Linked DNA regions of Caenorhabditis elegans. The protein of the gene in region 1 interacts with the protein of each later gene in a pairwise test. Each region holds a gene or a part of one and is shown in the gene's direction. Other genes may lie near its edges.

Region 1 (5,942 bases):
ATAAATTTCCAGTCAAAATGTCACCTTTATTATCGCGATCCTGTGGATGCTTGTCCATTTGTTCTCTCTCCTCCAACTTTTTCACTTTTGCCTCTTCCAGTGTCTGCACCAATTCTCGTCCCAATAACAACTTTTGCGGGATGTGATGTTGAATGTTACCTCGATCGAAGAACAATGGTTCATCAGCCTGAAAATGGAGTAGTTAGTTGACCCTTATGACGGCTACTTTTTTCTCTCTTGTAGACTCATGTGAAAAGAAATACAGGGAGTAAGTAAAAATAGAAACAAGCAAGACCTTTGATCAAAAAGTTTGAAACAATTTGTTGATAAGAGAAAGTCAGACAGATAAGCAAAACAGTGGCAAATATTCAGGTGATTTATTTAAAGTGATATGTTTTCGTTTCAAATGGGAAAATATCTTGTGATTCTGAAACTACACAGAGAAAAATTGAAAGTGTGAAAAAATAGAACTATCTATGAAAAATATCCAATTTTGGAAATTGTTTGAATATTTGAAATTCTGATTATGTGGTGAATTATTTTAAACAACCATTTTTAAAATCACTTTCTTGAGGGAAATTATTATTGATAAAAATCTTTTTTTTTTCGAAAAAATCGAAAATTTTGCAATCAAAAATTTTCAAGTTTTCTAAATTTGTTTCTAAATTTTTCTGATGCTTTGGAAAATGGCTAGTTTTGTCTGAATTGACCGTTTTAGCATTAAAACAAATATTTCAAATTATTTTGGTCGATCCAGGCACTTCTATTCACTTTTCGAGGCTACAGAAAACAATGCCCAAAAATGTGGCTGGAAATTTAAAAAGTTAAAAAAATCCAGTTTTTAATGAAATTAAATTTAAATTAAAAAAAAAACGATACTTGTGGTTTATAATCATTAATTTTAAAACAAATTTGTTTTTCAGAAGTTTGAAAAAAAAAATTGGAAATCATTTTGATCTACTATTTTGCCAATTTTCCCTATTAGCCTTGCGCCGACATTGCTCCACTTTGACGACTTATGTCTTGGTTCACTTAGATTTTAACAAAAAATGATAAACTAATAAAATGTAGAGAATTATTTTGGGAGTACTTTGCCAGTTAATAATTTTTGATAAAATCAAAAAGAGCTGAGATATACGCTGTCAAAGTAAAGGAAAGTGCCTGGAAGTCTAGTAGAAAAAATACAATGAATGAAAGGTGACTAAAAGTCGCTGGAAAGTCAAAAAATATGGTCAAGTTAAGGATTAAAAAATCGCAAAATTTTCAGAATAATTCCAGATTACTGTAACGGGAGTACTGTGTACAACAAAAAGAAGCACAAACCTTCTGATTCCTGCTGAAATGTGCCGTCTCATTTTGCGAGTAATGCTCGATGGCTCCTCCCTGTAAAAAGTTGTGTGTAATTTTGTGTTGTAATACAAATATTCTCCAATCGTCGTCGTGTTCTCCCTTTCGATTTTTCGTTTATTTACAAAATATAAAAAGTAAGAGATGATCAGATTGGATGTTTCTGTTTCCCTTTTACCAGTGAATCAGCACCAGAAAATGTCAGGAGCACACAGGGGGGAGAAGGAGACAGTGTGCACAATCTTCTTCCATTTCTTTCCCTCCACCCACACCTCCGTCTTCACAGTTCCGAGACCCCGCCCTCACTCTTAGCTTCTGCATAATCCGTTGTCTCATTTGACACCCCCTACCATAAAAAAATACAATAATCATGACTCGCCATCAAACACATCTTCCATTTCATATTGTGTAAGTTATGTATTTATTTATTTTATTTATTTATTATTGTTTTTAGAGAGGGAGAGAGAGAGGGGAAACATATTTTCTTTTTCTTCTTCTCTAAATACAAAATCCCCGTTGCAAAATTCTGTTAGAGGCAAAGTTTTGAAAATAAAAGAGCTCTTTCCAGTCAAGAGGGAAATTCGATTGACAAGCCGCCATACAGTTACGTTGCACTTATTGCAATGGCAATCGATGCTTCGCCGGATAAGAGAATGACGTTGAATCAGATTTACAAGGTAACGGGAAGCTTTTCGATAACGTTTTTTTGGTATAGCGGTTTTGGAGGAATTATCATGAAAATTTTGCTAAAACTAAATACTTTTTTGCGGAAAAATACCATTTTAAAAACCCAAAACTGGTGCGGCAATTCAAATTTTGAAGAATTTTTGAGCAAATTTTTCACAATGTTAGCGGAATATTCCAGTTTTTTTTGGACGTCATATTGAGTATTAAAATATGTGCTAGAACTTTCAGTTATTCCTGCAAAAATAGATCTACGAAATTCAATTCCAAAACTTTAAAAATTACTTTTTTTCTGAGAATTTTTATCTCACTTTACACTAACTTCGAGGCTGCTGAAATTGTTCCAAATCCGATTTTTATCTTCTTTTAAGTTTTTCAGGTATAGGCAAACGTTTGAAAGATTTTTTTGTAAATTTCAATTATTTGAAAACTTGAATCATCGGAGTCTATTTAGTCATATAAAACTGATCAAGCCGAGCCATTTAATGAAACATTTTCTAGTTCAAAATGCTCCTTTGAAGCGAAAAATTTGGCGATCATCTTGTAATGACATATACTTCATTTAAAAATCCAGAAAAATATTCGTCACTTCTCCGGAGATTCTCCCTATATTTTTTGTACTTTAAATTGTTTTGAAATTACTAGAAAAGCCTCAAAATATCTGTTATTTTGGAGATTTTCTAACACGATTATATAGCAGTAAAATTAATCTGCTCCTTATTGCTACAAAAAAAACGAAATTCGAAAAAAAGTTCTTAAGGTTCTACATCATCTTTCCCATATCACATTTTCGTACAGTAAGTTTCATACATTGATATTTTTGTTGTGATATTCAGTTGGTTGCTTTTTTTTTCCACCTAGCCCTGCCCTACCGTAACCCTGTCACAAGTGATCTAGTAATGTTCAGTTCAATCTAACTCTGGAAAACCCAACTCACTAGCCAGCACATCTACCGTAACCCACCACTTCCACTCTTCCGTTTTGACTCATCAACCTTAATAGATCTGACTAATTTGGTGTGGGGGGCACCCTGTGCCTCTCCCATAACATTTACACAGTGAACAACTTTTCCTCTCTCCTACAAGTCAATAACAATGTCAATATATATATATATAGACCTTCTTCGTGTCAAGACCCAAAAACCTTAGTATTCAACTTTGACAGTTAATATCTCAGCTCTCGTTTGTCCTAAACAAAAATTGTCTACCAGCCAAATATTTTTTGGTTATTTTTCTATAGGTTTGTAGTTGATCATTCATTGATATCTTTATTATGAACCGAGATATAACCTTTCAAAGTATGTTAGTTTCCTATCAGGCGCAAACAAAACCGATGATGTGTGTTTCAGTTCATCGAGGCCAAATTCCCATATTACCGTGACGCGGACGCGAAACGAAAACAGGGATGGCAGAACAGTATTCGACACAATCTGTCACTCAACGACTGCTTTGTCAAAAAAGCACGAGACGGACAAAGCTGCGCGAACGACAGAAAGGGCAACTATTGGCAAATGGTGGCGGACAATGCGCCTCAGTTTGACAACGGCAACTTTAAGAGAAGGTATGGATAGTGACAAGAGGATTATTATTATTATACACTCGTGAAAAATGACTATTTGTTCATGTATTTACAGACGTGTCAAAAGACTTGGAATCGGAAAAATGGGTTATGCGAATACGACGGAAACTACTGAAACAGGGACCATTCTACAGCAACAGCTTCCGTTTTTCAACGGGTTGAAGTGGCCACAGAATATTCAAACTATGGATCCTTTCCAGTTTTTTAAGGTAAATAATTGCCCAGTGAAGATTTTCGGGAATCTGAACGCTAACGCCCCATGAAAAATTCGAACAGGCAACAAATTTACGAAATTGTACTAAAAATATTGGTGAATCTGTAGTAAGCTTATCGTTTAGCCCCAGAGTCCTTACTAGTTAGTTGTGAAATTTTCGTTACAACTCTTATAAAATGAAGCAAAGTTGCTTTATATTCCCAATTAAAAATAATTTTATTAATAATTGTTTTTCCAAAAAAAACTTTCATGAAAATACTCAAAACTCCGAGGAAACTGTGCCAATCTCAAAAAGATCTTAAAGAAATTAGCGAACTGTGCAAATATTTCACAAAGACAACTATGCCTGCTTGTAAATTTTAGATCATAGGCAGGCATAGGCAGAAAAATATAAAGTAGGTAAGTACGCCTGAAGGCGTGCCTGCCTACCAAAAAAGCCCAAAAAGTGGACTCCATGCCTTGGTCTACTTTGACAGCTTATATCTTGACTCCCTTTGTTGTTATCAAAAATTGTCAGTTGACAAAATATGGGCAAAATATTTCTCTACATTTAAATAATGACAATTATTTGATAAAATTTCAGGCAACCATGATATAAGCGGTCAAAATAGAGCACAATCGGGGTGCAGATCTAACACTTTCAATTTTTCAGTTCCAATACCCCAACTCCATCACTGATAGTGCCAACACCTCCCAAATCAACAACTCCTCTTCCTCATCGTCATCATTTGATACCTCAATTTACACAAGCGCCTTCCCAATTCCAACTTCTCATTTCGACACAAATCTAGTGGCTCCATCTCAACCACCACCAGTTGTGTCTGATGTAGAAGTTGTACCATCGGATACTGTCAAAGAGGAGGTTCTAGTTGATATGAAGCCATTGATCCCTGGGATTTCAAGTACAACATTCTTGACAAGTCTTCAGATGACTGATCCGAGGAGTATCGAGCAACAGGTTAGTTGAAATTTTCAAAAAATGTTTTAAATAAAGTTTATGCTACTTTTTTTTTAACTCTTGCAGCTTAATGGAGAAATTTTGAAGTCGGTAAAAATTATGCTATCTCCACTTTTTCTCCTATCTCCACTTTTTCTAAATTTTAGAATTTTCATAACTAATCAAAAACCCTCCTAAAACTTATTCCAGCAACTGCTCTCCACTGCAAGCAACATGTACCCAAACGCCTTCATGCCCCCTTATACCAATTGGTCCTGTCAACCAACAACCACTTTCACGGGATTATCATTTGATGACCCATCTCTCTATGGTTATGGACAACAATTCCCAGCTTCATCTTAACTTACCCCTGTCAACTGCCTGATCCTCGTTTCGCACTGTTTCAGTTCCTCCTGGAATAAATTTTTTGAAATATTTTGGTAATTAATTTCAGATTACCTTCAAGCTAGAATTTTCATCCGAATAATTATTCTTCACCTTCTCCTCCAAACCTTCAATTTTCTCTTTGAGACCCGCAATTTCTTGTTCATATTTTTCGATTGTTTTCTTCGAATTTTCATCGTTTTTATTGTTTTCTTTTTTTTGCTCTTTTGGCTCTTCTTTTAAAGTCTATAAAACATGAATTATGGTTTTAAAAAAATTTCAAATCTTACCTGACAATCCGTCAACTCCTTCTGGCACGTTTCTTGTTTTGTCTTCAACCCGTAAATTTCTGACTCTTTTAATTTAATTTTGCTTAAAAATTTGGTTGATTCGGCGTGGCGGGATTGTAATTCAGCCTCGATCTTCTTTTTGTGCAGCCAGATTACTGAAAGAAAAAAACAGTGATTTGACTTTTAAAGTGTTTTTTTTTCAGTTTTTTTTTAATGGCAGATCTACTCAATTTGGAGGGTTTTTCGAAGAAAAAAAATCACCGATATCAATTTTATTTATAAACTTAAGTTTATAGTACTTATTATTTCAAAAACTAATATTAATCGGAATTTAAAATTTACCAAATAAAAGTTGGCAAGAAAATCTAAGTCTCTGAGAACAAAATTTTGGTAAAATTTTGTCCAAAAAATTTGTAGTCTAAATTTGTAGTAAGTTCAAATTTTTTGAGATCAAACTGTGACCAATAATTAATTTTTTTCGAGAAAATTTTTCTGCGAGAAATTTAAA
Region 2 (4,873 bases), on another chromosome or scaffold:
ATAGTGAGAGAGAAGATGACCACGCGTAGAATCAATATTTAGGTGAGACTGTGCGTGATCTGAACAGGAAATCATTGACTTTTGGAGAATAACGTTTTTTTCTTCAATATGCATATATCTTTTTTGTAAGTCATAGTTATCGGTTTTCTCTTTTTTTTTTAGCGAAAATTGATTTCTAGCTTTTCTCGAAGTGTTCAAAAAACTGCAAAACTTACTTTCGTACAAAATGTAGAAATTTTCGAGATTAAAAAATTTAAATTACAAAATTTTGTATTTCGGTCTTTCTATTTCTTCGTGTTTTGGAAAAATATTTTTTTAAATGGAATACGATAAACTATGAAATATAACTTGTAAAGTTTGTTTTCTCTTACACCACAATAGTTGAAAAATGGCTGTAAATTTTTCACATTTCTCCCCGGTTCTAAAAATTTTCCAATATTCTGGATTAATCCAGCATCCATTTAATCATCTTATCTTTCAAATCCTTATCAATCGATGGAATCTACAGTATCCTCGAATACTTGTCCGTTATCACCTTCTCTCGCATGCATGTTCATCTTTTCATTCGTTATTTCACACCTTTTGAGGTATACAGGAAGTGGGGGAATCAGTTAAAACATACATATGTCCACGTGTCGGCTAATTTAAGAGTGCAACTCTATAGAAACTGCAAATTCACTTTTCGTACAATTTTTTTGACTAAAAGAATGAAGAGTTTGCAATACTAACGAAGAAGTGCAATACTATTAGGGACGCAAGACTAATTGGGACTTCAAGTCTATATTTCAATCGATATGAACTCTAAGAGAGACTCAAAAATAAAATAAAATAAAACATATTTCTAGTTTCTAGATAGTTTTCAATAAGGAAAATATGGCGTCCACCAGCCAAAGGAAGAATGAGGGTCAGGTTGAATCCGGATAAGAAGATATTTCCAGGGATAATCTTGTTGAATTCTCATGTTTTCTGATTTCAATTTTTTTTCTCAATTTTTTAAAATATTCATCAATGAACATAATACTTTAAACCTCTGAGAGAACCAGTCAGTTTCTGATTTAAATATCAGAAAAATGATTGTGTTAAAGATCGAAGCAAACATACCACATTTTTTCAGTATTGCAGCCATTTTTTGGAAAAGTTACATGAATAATTTATAGACTCTGAAGATGTTCTACACTTTGTGAGTTTATTGTCTTAAACTGTAGTACGCGGAGATATTAGTATGGAAGCTAAAGGAAACTAGAAAAACATTTGAAAATGTACGAGAAAATTTGACTAAAATATAGGATGGATTTTGAACTCTAAAATCTAGGGTTATGAAATTTAAACGTCCTAAGCGATTTGTAATTTAATTTTGAAACTTTAATTGTGAAACTAAAGTGAGGTCAAATTTCTCACATTACTTTCCTTAATTCTTAATTTTTTCAGGAGCAGACAATTTTGTTCAAAAATTTCGAAATTTTCTAAATGTTTAAATATAATTTTTTGCTCATTACTTCAATCTTGATGAGTAATTTCATAGAATATATTTTGCCAGTAACATTTAACTGTCTCAAAAATTTTTTTGGCATTTGAAATGTCATTTTTTAAACTTTTTCATGATCCAAATAGTTCACACAAAACTGCTTTAATCCAATTAATTACAAATAAAAGAAATATAGGTTACCATATCCACAAAATCAGGATGTTCACACTCTTATTCTATCACTTGGGTGTTCACATCCGGCTGGTTTTCTTCTCACTTCTTTCGTTCTCCTCACTTAGTAGGTGGAGTCTACCAACCAGTCGCTCGTCGTCCGCCCGCTCAATGACTCCGCCCACTTTCTTGTCTCTCCGTGGGTCCCAGGGCTCTCGGTTCTCTTTTCGTTTGTGACACTTCCAACTGTCCTATCTGTGTTTGTGTGTATCTAGTAATCAATCACAAACTTCTATATCTGTTCAACGGCATGAACATCTGTATGCGAAATGGTTATGAGCAATTCTCACTGACATCTCCAGGAACATCGGATCTCGAAATTGGTGGATCATTTTGGAAAGACGAACCGGATACCAAGTACTTGTGCCTTGATTCTCCTGTTGAACGTGAGTGTTTTTTTTTTAATTTGAAAATGTTAAGCGTGGGCCAAAATATTTCAAAGAATTTACATCCGGAAAAAATTTTTTTGTAAATTTTCTGAAAATCACAGCTTAAAAAATTCAAAACAAAAGTTAAGTTAGATTCATAAAATTTCCATTTGAAAAGACATCTAACAGATCTAAGAATACAACACCTTCTCTCAAACTCCACTTAATCTTGAAAAATAAATCTTAAAATGTCAAAATCCCTGCAATAACAAAATCGAAAGAAGGAGAGGGAGAAAATCTGGAAAAAAAGATTATTCGCACTTCTAAGCCTTAAATATCCGTCTATTTTCCCCTGAATTTTGCAACTTTTTTATCTGAAGCTCTGGTGCTCTTCCGATTCTTTTCCCATACTACTTATAGGGATGAGCCAATGAATAAATGAGCAAAGTTCCGAAAGGTGTCTGAACTTAATGGGCTCACTTCCAAAAAATTTTGAAGTCATATAACATTACTAAATTTCTTGGTAGAAAAAACCCATTTGAGCTACACATTTTTCCATGACACCTTGCTTATTCACCAGTTTGGCAAACAAAAGAATCGGGGGGTCTCACACAAAAATATATTTTGTTGATTAAACGATATGATGGGGGTGGGGAACAAATGGGAGGCTCCATCAAAAAGCTCTTAGTTCAATCAAGTTCTGAAAGTTTAAAAGAAAACAAAAATCGCTATTTCTTTCATTCCATTTGTCCCCCTCCTCTTTTACTTTTTTCTTTTCCACCTTCTTCTTGTTGTCTTAAAAACGCATAACTTCATCTGGTCCTTCGATGAAGATCTAAGCTATAATCGCCTTATGCACATCACATGTACATATCCGGTTTGAAGATTTCAACAACCCAACCAGATTTTCTCGATTTTCTTGGCCTCGAAAACTTAACCTAGAAAGTTTTCAAATAAATATATGATATTAATAAAAATTAACTTTTCACAGTTTTGTATTCCGAAAGTTTTTAAAACCTAATTTTCTTCAAAAAAAGTTTTTCTCTAGGTCAATTTTCAATTCTAATTTCAAATCGCAACACTCTCCTCCCAAATAAGTAGTTATTTGCCGCCGCTCCGATTATGATTACTGTAGTGGTGGGGTGTTTATAATTGCTTATATTAAGTAAACTTTCCTTCTTTTTTTGGGATTGTTACTTCTTGTTTGTCAACGGCCAGTTTACTTCCTAAAATAAGATGTCAAATGTTGAACAAGGGGATTATCAATAGTTTGAAATGACTACCTTTAGTTGTTATAGTTTTAAAATTAGAACATTTTAATATGTTATTTTTTAAACAGTAGGAAGCTGTCGACTTTAAATTCTTCCGAATAAAAACGGAGCTCAATAAAATTAATGACGTGGCAAAACAGTGCTGACAGAAGAGGGCAAAAATAAAATAAAAAACGTTTTGGCAGCTACTAACATCCCCAAACACCCCACAAATGAGCTATTTTATGAGTTTTGTTAGGCTCTCCCTGCCTTTCTTCACTTTTTTCTTGAAGCCATGAACCCCTTCATGACACCTAACTGGGTATCATTATCCATTTGTGCGCGTGGCCCTCCCCTCTTTCTATTACTTTTCCCTAAATAAAGCTTGAGCTCCCCTCCTCTCACAAACCCTGTAATCTTCAAATCAAAGTCGACGGGTAATTTGGGTTAGAGTAAAGTTAATCGAGCTTTCATTTTTCAGAACGTCAGCACCAACCACCGATGGCAGTTTGTGCCGGCTGTCGATTGGGTAAGCTCTTTCGGGGACTAAATTCCAAAAAATTATTTATTTTCAGAAATATCAGATCGGTACTTCCTCAGGGTCAATCCCAATCTGGAATTTCACGCTCAATGTCTAAAAGTGAGTTTTTGAACATTTTTATAACTGAAAAATGGTTTATAAGTATCTCGTCTCACTTTGAAGGATTTTATCTCAGTTTGTTTTGAATATATCAAAAATAATAAAAATACACAACCTTTTCGATAGAACAAACAACAACCGAGATACTAATTGAGTGCAGTGTAGTCTCATGGTTTTTTTTCTAAACAACAATTTCGAAAATTACACGGGGGTGGATTTTCACAAGAAAACCTAATTCATTCCAAATGATCTCATTCAAAAATGTATTGCACAATGAGCCCCTCCAACTGTCTTAATACCTTAAAGCTACAAAAGTCCAGTAAAGAGAGAATTTACACGCATGACTTGACACATTGTTTGTTCTTTTATTCAACATTTTGATGTATGTTTCTATATGTATGTAGGATTTCCATTTTGCATATTATTCAGAATTCCAACCTTTTCCCCTTTTCTCTTTTCTGCTCCTTTTGAATTATTCACCAATTTGATACCTTTATTCCGGGTCATTGTACTTTTTGCTCTTGCCCCACGACTTTTAAGCAAAGGACAAAAAGTGAATATTATACAAAAAAGGGAAGGGGGAGGAGAAAGGGCAATGATGATGAAATGAAATGAGACAAAGACGGAAAAAAAGAAAAGAAAAAAATCAAAACGTGTTGACCAGGAAGCATAAAAAGGGGGAGAAGCACGGAAGAGACGGATCAAATTACTGCGCAAATTCGCGCATTTTGTTGATTTTTTGAGTGTGAAGATTGGTGTATACAACTCACTGGGACAGAGGGACCCTTGCGTGACCAGTCAAGGTGGCAACCATCTGTCGTGTTGGAATAGGCGATGAATACCTAAACAGTAGTAGAATAGATCACGCTATTCAGTTAACTATTTACCTGTTTACCGCATAGTAACCCAGTTGTGGAAT

Evidence for each region. Proteins that work in one complex are often made in the same cells at the same time.
Region 2: the proteins of fkh-6 (region 1) and lim-7 interact in a two-hybrid assay, tested with the Caenorhabditis elegans proteins (one large-scale study listed by BioGRID).

Annotation. Positions count from the first base shown.
Region 1 is NC_003280.10:4,379,064-4,385,005, reverse strand, and holds fkh-6 (Forkhead transcription factor fkh-6), read left to right. Parts: upstream 1-1,599; 5' UTR 1,600-1,717; coding exon 1,718-1,755; intron 1,756-1,915; coding exon 1,916-2,024; intron 2,025-3,379; coding exon 3,380-3,591; intron 3,592-3,664; coding exon 3,665-3,818; intron 3,819-4,475; coding exon 4,476-4,781; intron 4,782-4,970; coding exon 4,971-5,123; 3' UTR 5,124-5,128; coding exon of another isoform or gene 5,129-5,173; 3' UTR 5,174-5,219; coding exon of another isoform or gene 5,220-5,390; 3' UTR 5,391-5,421; downstream 5,422-5,942. Other genes in the region: B0286.1 (uncharacterized protein), read right to left, coding at 25-187, 1,324-1,383, 5,129-5,173, 5,220-5,390, 5,435-5,589. UniProt on the Caenorhabditis elegans protein: Probable transcription factor. Binds to the DNA sequence motif 5'-[TA]TGTT[TG]T[TG][ATG]TT-3'.
Region 2 is NC_003279.8:5,714,730-5,719,602, forward strand, and holds the start of lim-7 (LIM/homeobox protein lim-7), read left to right. Parts: upstream 1-1,844; 5' UTR 1,845-1,946; coding exon 1,947-2,082; intron 2,083-3,795; coding exon 3,796-3,843; intron 3,844-3,889; coding exon 3,890-3,954; intron 3,955-4,643; exon of another isoform or gene 4,644-4,793; intron 4,794-4,873. UniProt on the Caenorhabditis elegans protein: Probable DNA-binding transcriptional activator.